2 linked regions of the Macaca fascicularis genome follow. The protein of the gene in region 1 binds, or shares a complex with, the protein of each later gene. Links are inferred from orthologs where the notes say so. Each region holds a gene or a part of one and is shown in the gene's direction. Other genes may lie near its edges. The genes, in order: EIF3D and EIF3L.

Region 1 (3,809 bases):
TGTCTTGTGAGTTTTTTCCTCTGCTTAGTTCCTTGCCGAGAAAGAGCATGACTGTGTGTGTAGAACTATGTTAAGTGTTAAGGACTTTTCTGCTTATTATTTACACAGGAACCATTTAACTCCCTTCTTCCAGTACTTCATCTCTGTTCCATTGTGGCCTCCTGTTGGCTTCTGCTCTCTGAGCATCTGATTTTTTCCTCTCCTTATTATCTGGGTTGGCAGTTTCCTGTAAGTCTGGCCGCTCTTCTTTTTGACCTCTTCTTTCATTGACTGAGCCACTGCCTTCAGTCTTTTCATACCTTTTTTCCAATTCCTCATTTCCTGAACTCATGGATTCTACGATCTGGCTTGGAATTGATGCTTCAGAGGCACCTTGAAAGAAACATGCTTCCTTCACTTTTCCTCCACTTTCCATTTCCACCCCACCCCCACCCACATCACCTGTTGGAGGAGCACACTGGGAGGCTTGCTGTGACCTCCCTCTGGGGCCAGTGGCCTTTTCTTGGACTTTTCCCGGTGAGCTCCCCAAAGCATTCGGGGTCGTTGCACCTGTGTTGCTTTGCCCTCTGTGTTACCGCGTTACTCTGGTCTCACCCATTTCCCTGTTCCCTTCACATGTTGTCTTTGCTGGCTCCCCTCCTTTTTGACCCATGGAGTCACCTAGACAGCTCTCTTCGCCACACGTACTTCTTTATTATACAACTTTGTGTTAGTTATCTTTTGCTCCATAACAAATTAACAGAAACTTAGTGACTTAACAATACCGATTAATATATTTTATTTTTATTTTTTATTTTTTATTTTTTGAGACAGAGTTTTGCTCTTGTTGTCTAGGCTGGAGTGCAATGGGGCGATCTCGGCTCACCGCAACCTCTGCCTCCAGGGTTCAAACGATTCTCCTGCCTCAGCCTCCCGAGTAGCTGGGATTACAGGCATGCGCCACCACGCCCAGCTAATTTTGTATTTTTAGTAGAGACGGGGTTTCTCCATGTTGGTTAGACTGGTCTCGAACTCCTGGCCTCAGGCGATCCGCCTGCCTCGGCCTCCCAAAGTGCTGGGATTACAGGCATGAGCCATGGCACCCAGCCTAACAATATTGATTTATTAGCTCACATTTTTGTAGGTTAGAAGTCCAGTGCTGTGTGCTTGGTCTTTGTATTGGTCCATTCTCGCACTGCTGCAAAGAAATGCCTGAGAGTGGGTAATTTCTAAAGAAGGGAGATATAATTGGCTCACAGTTCTGCAGGCTCTACAGGAAGCGTGACTGAGGAGGCCTCAGGAAACTTGCAATGGTGGCAGAAAGCAAAGGAGAAGCAGGCACATCTGACATGGCCAGAGTAGGAGAAAGAGAGGGGGAAGTTGCTATACACTTTTAAACAACCAGATCTCTTGAGAACTCTGTATCACAAGAATAGCGCCAAAGGGGAAAATCCACCCCCATGATCCAGTCACCTCCCACCATGCTCCTCCTCCAACATTGGGGTTTACCACTTGACATGTGATTTGGGTGGGACACAAATCCAAACAAGGCAGAAATCACAGTGTCAATAGAAACAGGACTGAGTTCTCATCTGGAGGTTCTGAAAGCCATTTCCAAGCCCATTTTCATTGTGGGTAGAGTTCATTTCCCTGCAGTTAGATGACAGAGGCCCCCATCCCCCTGCCAGCTGTCAGCTGGGAGCCTCTCTCAGCTCCTAGAGGCCACCTGCATTCCTTGTCACATGGCCCCCTCCATCTCCAAGCTAGCAACAGCACAGCAGATCCTTCTCGTGCTTCAAATTTCTGACTTCCTCTGTCTCTGATCTCTACACCTAGATTTGAGAGACTCATATGGTTGGGTGAGGCCCAGCCCCAGGTAGTGTATATTAAGGTTAACTGATTGGGGGCCTTACATCTGCAAAATCCCTTTTGACATACAAGGTAGCATAATCATGGGGGTGATATTTGATCCTAGCCATAGGTTCTGCCTGCAGTCAAGGGGAGGAGACTCTGCAAGGGCAAGGGTCACTGGGGATCATCTTAGAATTCTGCCCACCCCAGGCCTCAACCATGAACTCTTTGAAAATGATTTCTCAAATCTACTCTGATTTATTACACTTCCCATTGTTTTTCTGCTAAAACACCTTCCCCTTCCGTGTGCCCCCCGTCCTGTCATTGCCTCTGGGCCAGCTGTCCCTCAGCATTGTCTTTCTCCCACCTAAGCTCTGAGCCTCTAATATCTCCAACTCCTTTTTTACATTTGCTATTAGCAAAATAGAAGGCTTTGCTGTCTTCTGACTCAGTCCTGGATTTCGCTGATACCAAGCCAATACACAGCTTCATCAGCAGTGCAGACTGGGAGAAGGACTCTAACGTGCCCCAGCAAGCTGCACACAGTAGTGCGCACCTGTAATCCCAGCTGCTCAGGAGGCTGAGATGGGAGGATCGCTTGGGTTCAGGAGTTCAAATCCTGAACTCACCAGCTTGGGCAACATAGTGAGACCCCCCATCTCAAAAAAAGCAAACGCACAGCGGTGCTGCAGGATAGCTTAAATTTTTTAGGGAAACACCAGAGACGTCTTGTCGGAATACTACTACATGGTTTGAACCTAACTAAATAAAAGGAATTACTGGCCAGCCACTGTGGCTCACGCCTGTAATCCTAGCACTCTGGGAGGCCGAAGCGGGCGGATCACCTGAGGTCAGGAGTTCGAGAGCAGCCTGGCCAACGTGGCGAAACCCCCCCTCTACCAAAAATATAAAAATTAGCTGGACGTGGTGGCGGGCACCTGTAATCCCAGCTACTAGGGAGGCTGAGGTAGGAGAATCGCTTGAACCTGGGAGGTGGAGGTTGTGGTGAGCTGAGATCACGCCACTGCACTCCAGCCTGGGCGACAAGAGCAAAACTCCTTCTCAAAAAAAAAAAAAAAAAAAAAAAAAGGAATTCCTGAGTATTTCTTTTGCCCTGTGGTTGCCATGAACCAAGAAAGTTTGGGAACCTCTGTCATGTGACCTTTGACCAGTCATTTCACTCTGGGTCCATCTTCCCACGTCTGTAAATGATATGGGTAGAAAAGAGGATCTCTTTGGGGTCCTTTTCTGCTGTGTGCATTTATGTAAAATGTCAGACTCAGCTTTGCCCCCACTGCAGGCTTCCACCCCCATCTAAGGCCAACTCCGCCTGTCTTTCCTATCCCACCATGCCTCTCAGATCAGGAGCTCCTGTCTGTACCTGCACTTGTGCCAATATTCTCCACTTGGCTCACTGTTACACATCCTCTGTGAAGCCCTTCCTTACCATGCAACACACAGTAGACACTTGCCTCTGCTGTTTAAAGTGTGTGTGTGTGTGTGTCCATGTCCATCATTCCCTGGCTAGGTGAGCTTTTAGAAGAGAAGAGCTGTAAGTCATTGAGTGCCAGCTTGCGGCAGGCTGTGCAAGGGAAGGGAGCGTGTCTTTGTCTCTTAAATGGTAAGATTTAGTGCATACCTACCCACTTTCTAAGCAGGCAGACTGGGGAGTTCCTTCTCTGCCAGAGGAGGTCCCAGCACCTTGGGCATTTAGAGCTTGCTTCTGCTTCTCTAACGGGGCTCTCCTGCAGCACTGTAACGGCGTTGACTGGCGTCAGAAGCTGGACTCTCAGCGAGGGGCCGTCATTGCCACGGAGCTGAAGAACAACAGCTACAAGTTGGCCCGGTGGACCTGCTGTGCTTTGCTGGCTGGATCTGAATACCTCAAGCTTGGGTGAGAGGCCTGTGCGGGAACTGGCAGCTGATCTTGTGAAAGGAAGGGTCTGGGTAGGGAGGTTGGCCCTCCCCTCCCCGTGTAC
Region 2 (4,468 bases), about 1.4 Mb from region 1:
GCAATAACGCAGCATAGGGAGTTGGGGCCGGGCATTGCAATTCTAAATAGGAGGTCGAGTGAATGGCATCAGAGCAGACACCTAAAGATGCCACGCAGATATCCAATGGGGAAGGGAATGGGAGTGGGGGCACCGCTGCATTCGATTCTAGACTTGGATAACAGTGAGTGCAAAATCCCAGAGGTGGAGTGTGCCTCAGTGGGAAAAGCGAGGAGGGCAGCGTGACAAAGGGACCCAGAGAGTCCTGGTCACACAAGAAATCAGTGGTGGAACTAAGGTCCCTCCTTGACTCATACACTGGTTTTTATTGGTTTGTTTTATAACCCCATCTCTACTTTGACGGTTTCCCCCAGACTCGAACCCGGTGTACTCAAGAGCTGCCCCTGTCCCAGGCTTCGCGACACAGCTGGCCTCGTCTTTGCCTACTCCAACTTTAATGTCCAAAGTTGGGTGGCTCCTGTTTCCCATGCCCTCTTACTGCATAGGACCAAATCTCAATTTTTTTTTTTTTTTTTAAGACTGAGTCTTGCTGTGTCGCCCAGGCTGGAGTGCAGTGGCACGATCTTGGCTCATTACAGTCTCTGCCTCTCGGGTTCCACCGATTCTCCTGCTTCAGCCTCCTGGATAGCTGGGATTACAGGCGGACGCTACCACTCTCGGCTAATTTTTGTATTTTTACTAGAGACGGGGTTTACGACATTTTGGCCAGGCTGGTCTCGAACTCCTGACCTCAGGTGATCCACCCGCCTCAGCCTCCCAAAGTGTTGAGATTACAGTCATGAGCCATCGCGCCCGGCCAAATCTCAACTTTTATCCCCAGTAAGTTTAGTCTTGTTAAGTCCGAACGTTTTAATAATTTACTCACTGCAGGCAAACCGCTTACAACTAAATCCATCAGGTCCCCGTATCCGAATCTCCCTTCACGCGAGAAGCCGGCCATCTTTTGTGTGGCATTCTTTCTGGTTTCTGTAACTTTGCCCCTCCTTTACCCCAAATACGTGTCTTTATATCTGAATCTACACTAGTATCACAGATTCACCTTCTTTGAGAAGCCTCTATTTGAAGAAAAGAAAATTCAGGCTACTTGTAACCCTCTTATTATTATTTTTAGACGGAGTTTTCGCTCCTGTTGCCCAGGCTGGAGTGCAATGGCGCGATCTCGGCTCACCGCAACCTCCGCCTCCCGGGTTCAAGCAACTCTCCTACTTCAGCCTCCCGAGTAGGTGGGATTACAGGCATGCGCCACCACGCCCGGCTAATTATGTATTTTTAGTAGAGACGGGATTTCTCCACATTGGTCAGGCTGGTCTCGAACCCCCGACCTCAGCCTCAGGTGATCCGCCCGCCTCGACCTCCCAAAGTGCTGAGATTACAGGCGTGAGCCACCGAGCCCGGAACCTCTTCCTTCTTGATATGGCTGTCTCAGATGGCCAGCGGCCTCGGAAAGGCTTCCGGTTTCCCGGCAGGCCCGAGGGGGGCCGAACTTCCGGCCTAAGGACGCAGGCGCGGGCCGCTCGTTTCGGTCTTTCCGGCGGTGCTTGTGAGCCCGGTAGCCATGTCGTATCCTGCTGATGATTATGAGTCGGAGGTAAGGTGGCCCTAAGCGCGCGGTGAACTTCACGCCGGGGAGATCTGTGGGACCTCTGGATGTGGGTCCCGGCGCGAGGCAGCTTCTGGGCCGCGGCCAGCTCCGGCCTACCTGCCGCGCGGCCCTCAGGCTGCTCCCTCTGTTCCCGGCCCCTAGACAACCCTGGCTCTGCCCGCCCATTTCGCGTGTCCGGTTCCCTTGTCCTTCCCCTTTCTAAGACCGGAGACCAAGGCTTGTTAGACATTTCTGTGTTTCTGCCCCTGAGTTATTTTGGTGTGGGCTCCGTCAGGTCAAATCTCGCTGATTCCCACAGCCTCTTGTCCTTTGCACCCGTAATGTATTGTCATTGTCTGTTTACTGTCGCTTTTCTCTAAGGCGTGTGAGTTCCTCAAAGGCAGGCACAGTGTCTTTTTTTTTTTTTTTTTTTTGAGACGGAGTCTCGCTCTGTCGCCCAGGCTGGAGTGCAGTGGCCGGATCTCAGCTCACTGCAAGCTCCGCCTCCCGGGTTCACGCCATTCTCCGGCCTCAGCCTCCCGAGTAGCTGGGACTACAGGCGCCCGCCACCTCGCCCGGCTAGTTTTTTTGTATTTCTTAATAGAGACGGGGTTTCACCGTGTTAGCCAGGATGGTTTCGATCTCCTGACCTCGTGATCCGCCCGTCTCGGCCTCCCAAAGTGCTGGGATTACAGGCTTGAGCCACCGCGCCCGGCCAGGCACAGTGTCTTATCCGCCTCTGTATCCTTAGCTCTCTGCTTGGCATCTAGACTCTAGGATGAGCGTTTTGAATTCACGAGTTGGCGACTTTACTGACTGTCTCTTTCCTTCTAGGCGGCTTATGACCCCTACGCTTATCCGAGCGACTATGATATGCACACAGGTGAGACCACGGCTTAGGCTGGCTGAGTACTCGTAGGGATCAGTTCCTTTGCAATGTCTTAGAACCAGCTCTGACAGGCACCTGTTAAAAATTGCTCTTTGGTGGTCCAGGTTTGGAGTCAGTCATTACCTGCTGGTGCGTGGGGTTGTATAAAGCCTAATAAACCAGGCTTTTTATCATAGTCCACCTCAGTCTTGGAAGAGAAAGATTACTTACCGGGCTATGGTTTTCTTGTGTAAACTATTAGCCAAAGAAGAAAACTTTTTTTTTTTGAGATGGAGTCTCCCTCTTTCCTCCCCGGGGCTGGAGTGTAGTGATGCGATCTCTGCTCATTGCAACCTCCGCCTCCCGGATTCAAGCAGTTCTCTTGTCTCAGCCTCCCAAGTAGCTAGGATTACAGGCACCCACCACCATTCCCGGCTAATTTTTTACTTTTTTTTTAGTAGAGACGAGATTTCGCCGTGTTGTCCAGACTAGTCTCAAACTCCTGACCTCAGGTGATCCACCCGCCCCAGCCTCCCAAAGTGCTGGGATTACAGGCGTGAGCCACTGCACCTGGCCCAAAGAAGAAAATCTTGATGTGAAAAATTTAATTCAAACCAAGCCCAGATGAAATCTTTTGGGAGGTTTCCTGAAATGTTATAGTGACTGGACTTAGTAGTCAGTGTTATCCATTGTTCTAAGTACGTTGTATGCAATATTTTGTTTAATTCTTACAGTGGTTCTGTACATTACTGTTGTCTCCTAAAGAAGAGAAAATAGGCCGGGCGTGGTGGCTCACGCCTGTCATCTCAGCACTTTGGGAGGCGGAGATGAGCAGATCACGAGGTCAGGAGATCTAGACCATCCTGGCTAACACGGTGAAACCCCGTCTCTACTAAAAATACAAAAAAAAAAAAAAAAAATTACCCGGACATGGTGGCAGACGCCTGTAGTCTCAGCTACTCAGGAGGCTGAGGCAGGAGAATGGCTTGAACCCAGGAGGCGGGAACTTGCAGTGAGCGGAGATTATGCCACTGCACTCCAGCCTGGGGGACAAAGTGAGACTGTCTCAAAAAAAAAACCAAAAAAAGAAGAGAAAATATAGCACAGAGATTTAATACTAACTTGCCACAAGTCATATATTTAGAAGGTGACAGTTATTCATTCAAGAAATATTAAATACCTGTTACCACTTACATTCCAACAGTCTTGCCTCTCTCCCCTCTAACTCATACTTTTCTAGGCCCTGAGGGTACATCTGAGTACAAGACAGACAAGATTCCGACTTCCTAGACTTGGGAGAAGGGTGCAAAACAGATAATAAGTGAAAAATAACTTTAAGTCGTGGTAATATTTTTGAAGAAACAGGGACAATGAGATTGGGAGTGAGTTGAGATGTTTGTATCTCTGAGTGTTCAAAAGGGAATTTTACTCAGACCTGAGTTTAGTTTCTGGGGCGGTCTTGCCATTTTGTTCTATCATGTATGTGGGTTTGAAAGCACTCTGTGTTTGTTTTATCCAACCTCCAGGAGATCCAAAGCAGGACCTTGCTTATGAACGTCAGTATGAACAGCAAACCTATCAGGTGATCCCTGAGGTGATCAAAAACTTCATCCAGTATTTCCACAAAACTGTCTCAGATTTGATTGACCAGAAAGTGTATGAGCTACAGGCCAGTCGTGTCTCCAGCGATGTCATTGACCAGAAAGTGTATGAGATCCAGGACATCTATGAGAACAGGTATGGACTACTGGCTGAAAGGCCCTCTTTCTGGGTGGGACTGGCCTGGTATTACAGTTCCTACAAATGGGGCGAGCACTTTGTAAACAGTGCTTGGGGGGGTGGTCTTTGTGAGTCCTTGTGGCTAGGGACATTTTATTTTGTTAGACTTTATTTTATTTATGTGTTTGTTTATTATTTTTTGAGACGGAGTGTCATATGTTGCCCAGGCTGGAGTGCAGTGGCAAGATCTCGGCTCACTGCTACGTCTGCCTCCCGGGTTCAAGTGATTCTCCAGCCTC

Evidence for each region.
Region 2: EIF3D (region 1) and EIF3L share a complex: the UniProt entries of both Homo sapiens proteins name them as parts of the eukaryotic translation initiation factor 3 (eIF-3) complex. The link is inferred for Macaca fascicularis from reciprocal best matches to the Homo sapiens genes EIF3D and EIF3L.

What each region holds. Positions count from the first base shown.
Region 1 is NC_088384.1:15,146,917-15,150,725, forward strand, and holds part of EIF3D (eukaryotic translation initiation factor 3 subunit D), read left to right. Parts: intron 1-3,581; coding exon 3,582-3,724; intron 3,725-3,809. UniProt on the Homo sapiens protein: mRNA cap-binding component of the eukaryotic translation initiation factor 3 (eIF-3) complex, a complex required for several steps in the initiation of protein synthesis of a specialized repertoire of mRNAs.
Region 2 is NC_088384.1:13,770,716-13,775,183, reverse strand, and holds the start of EIF3L (eukaryotic translation initiation factor 3 subunit L), read left to right. Parts: upstream 1-1,524; 5' UTR 1,525-1,555; coding exon 1,556-1,588; intron 1,589-2,416; coding exon 2,417-2,465; intron 2,466-3,976; coding exon 3,977-4,187; intron 4,188-4,468. UniProt on the Homo sapiens protein: Component of the eukaryotic translation initiation factor 3 (eIF-3) complex, which is required for several steps in the initiation of protein synthesis.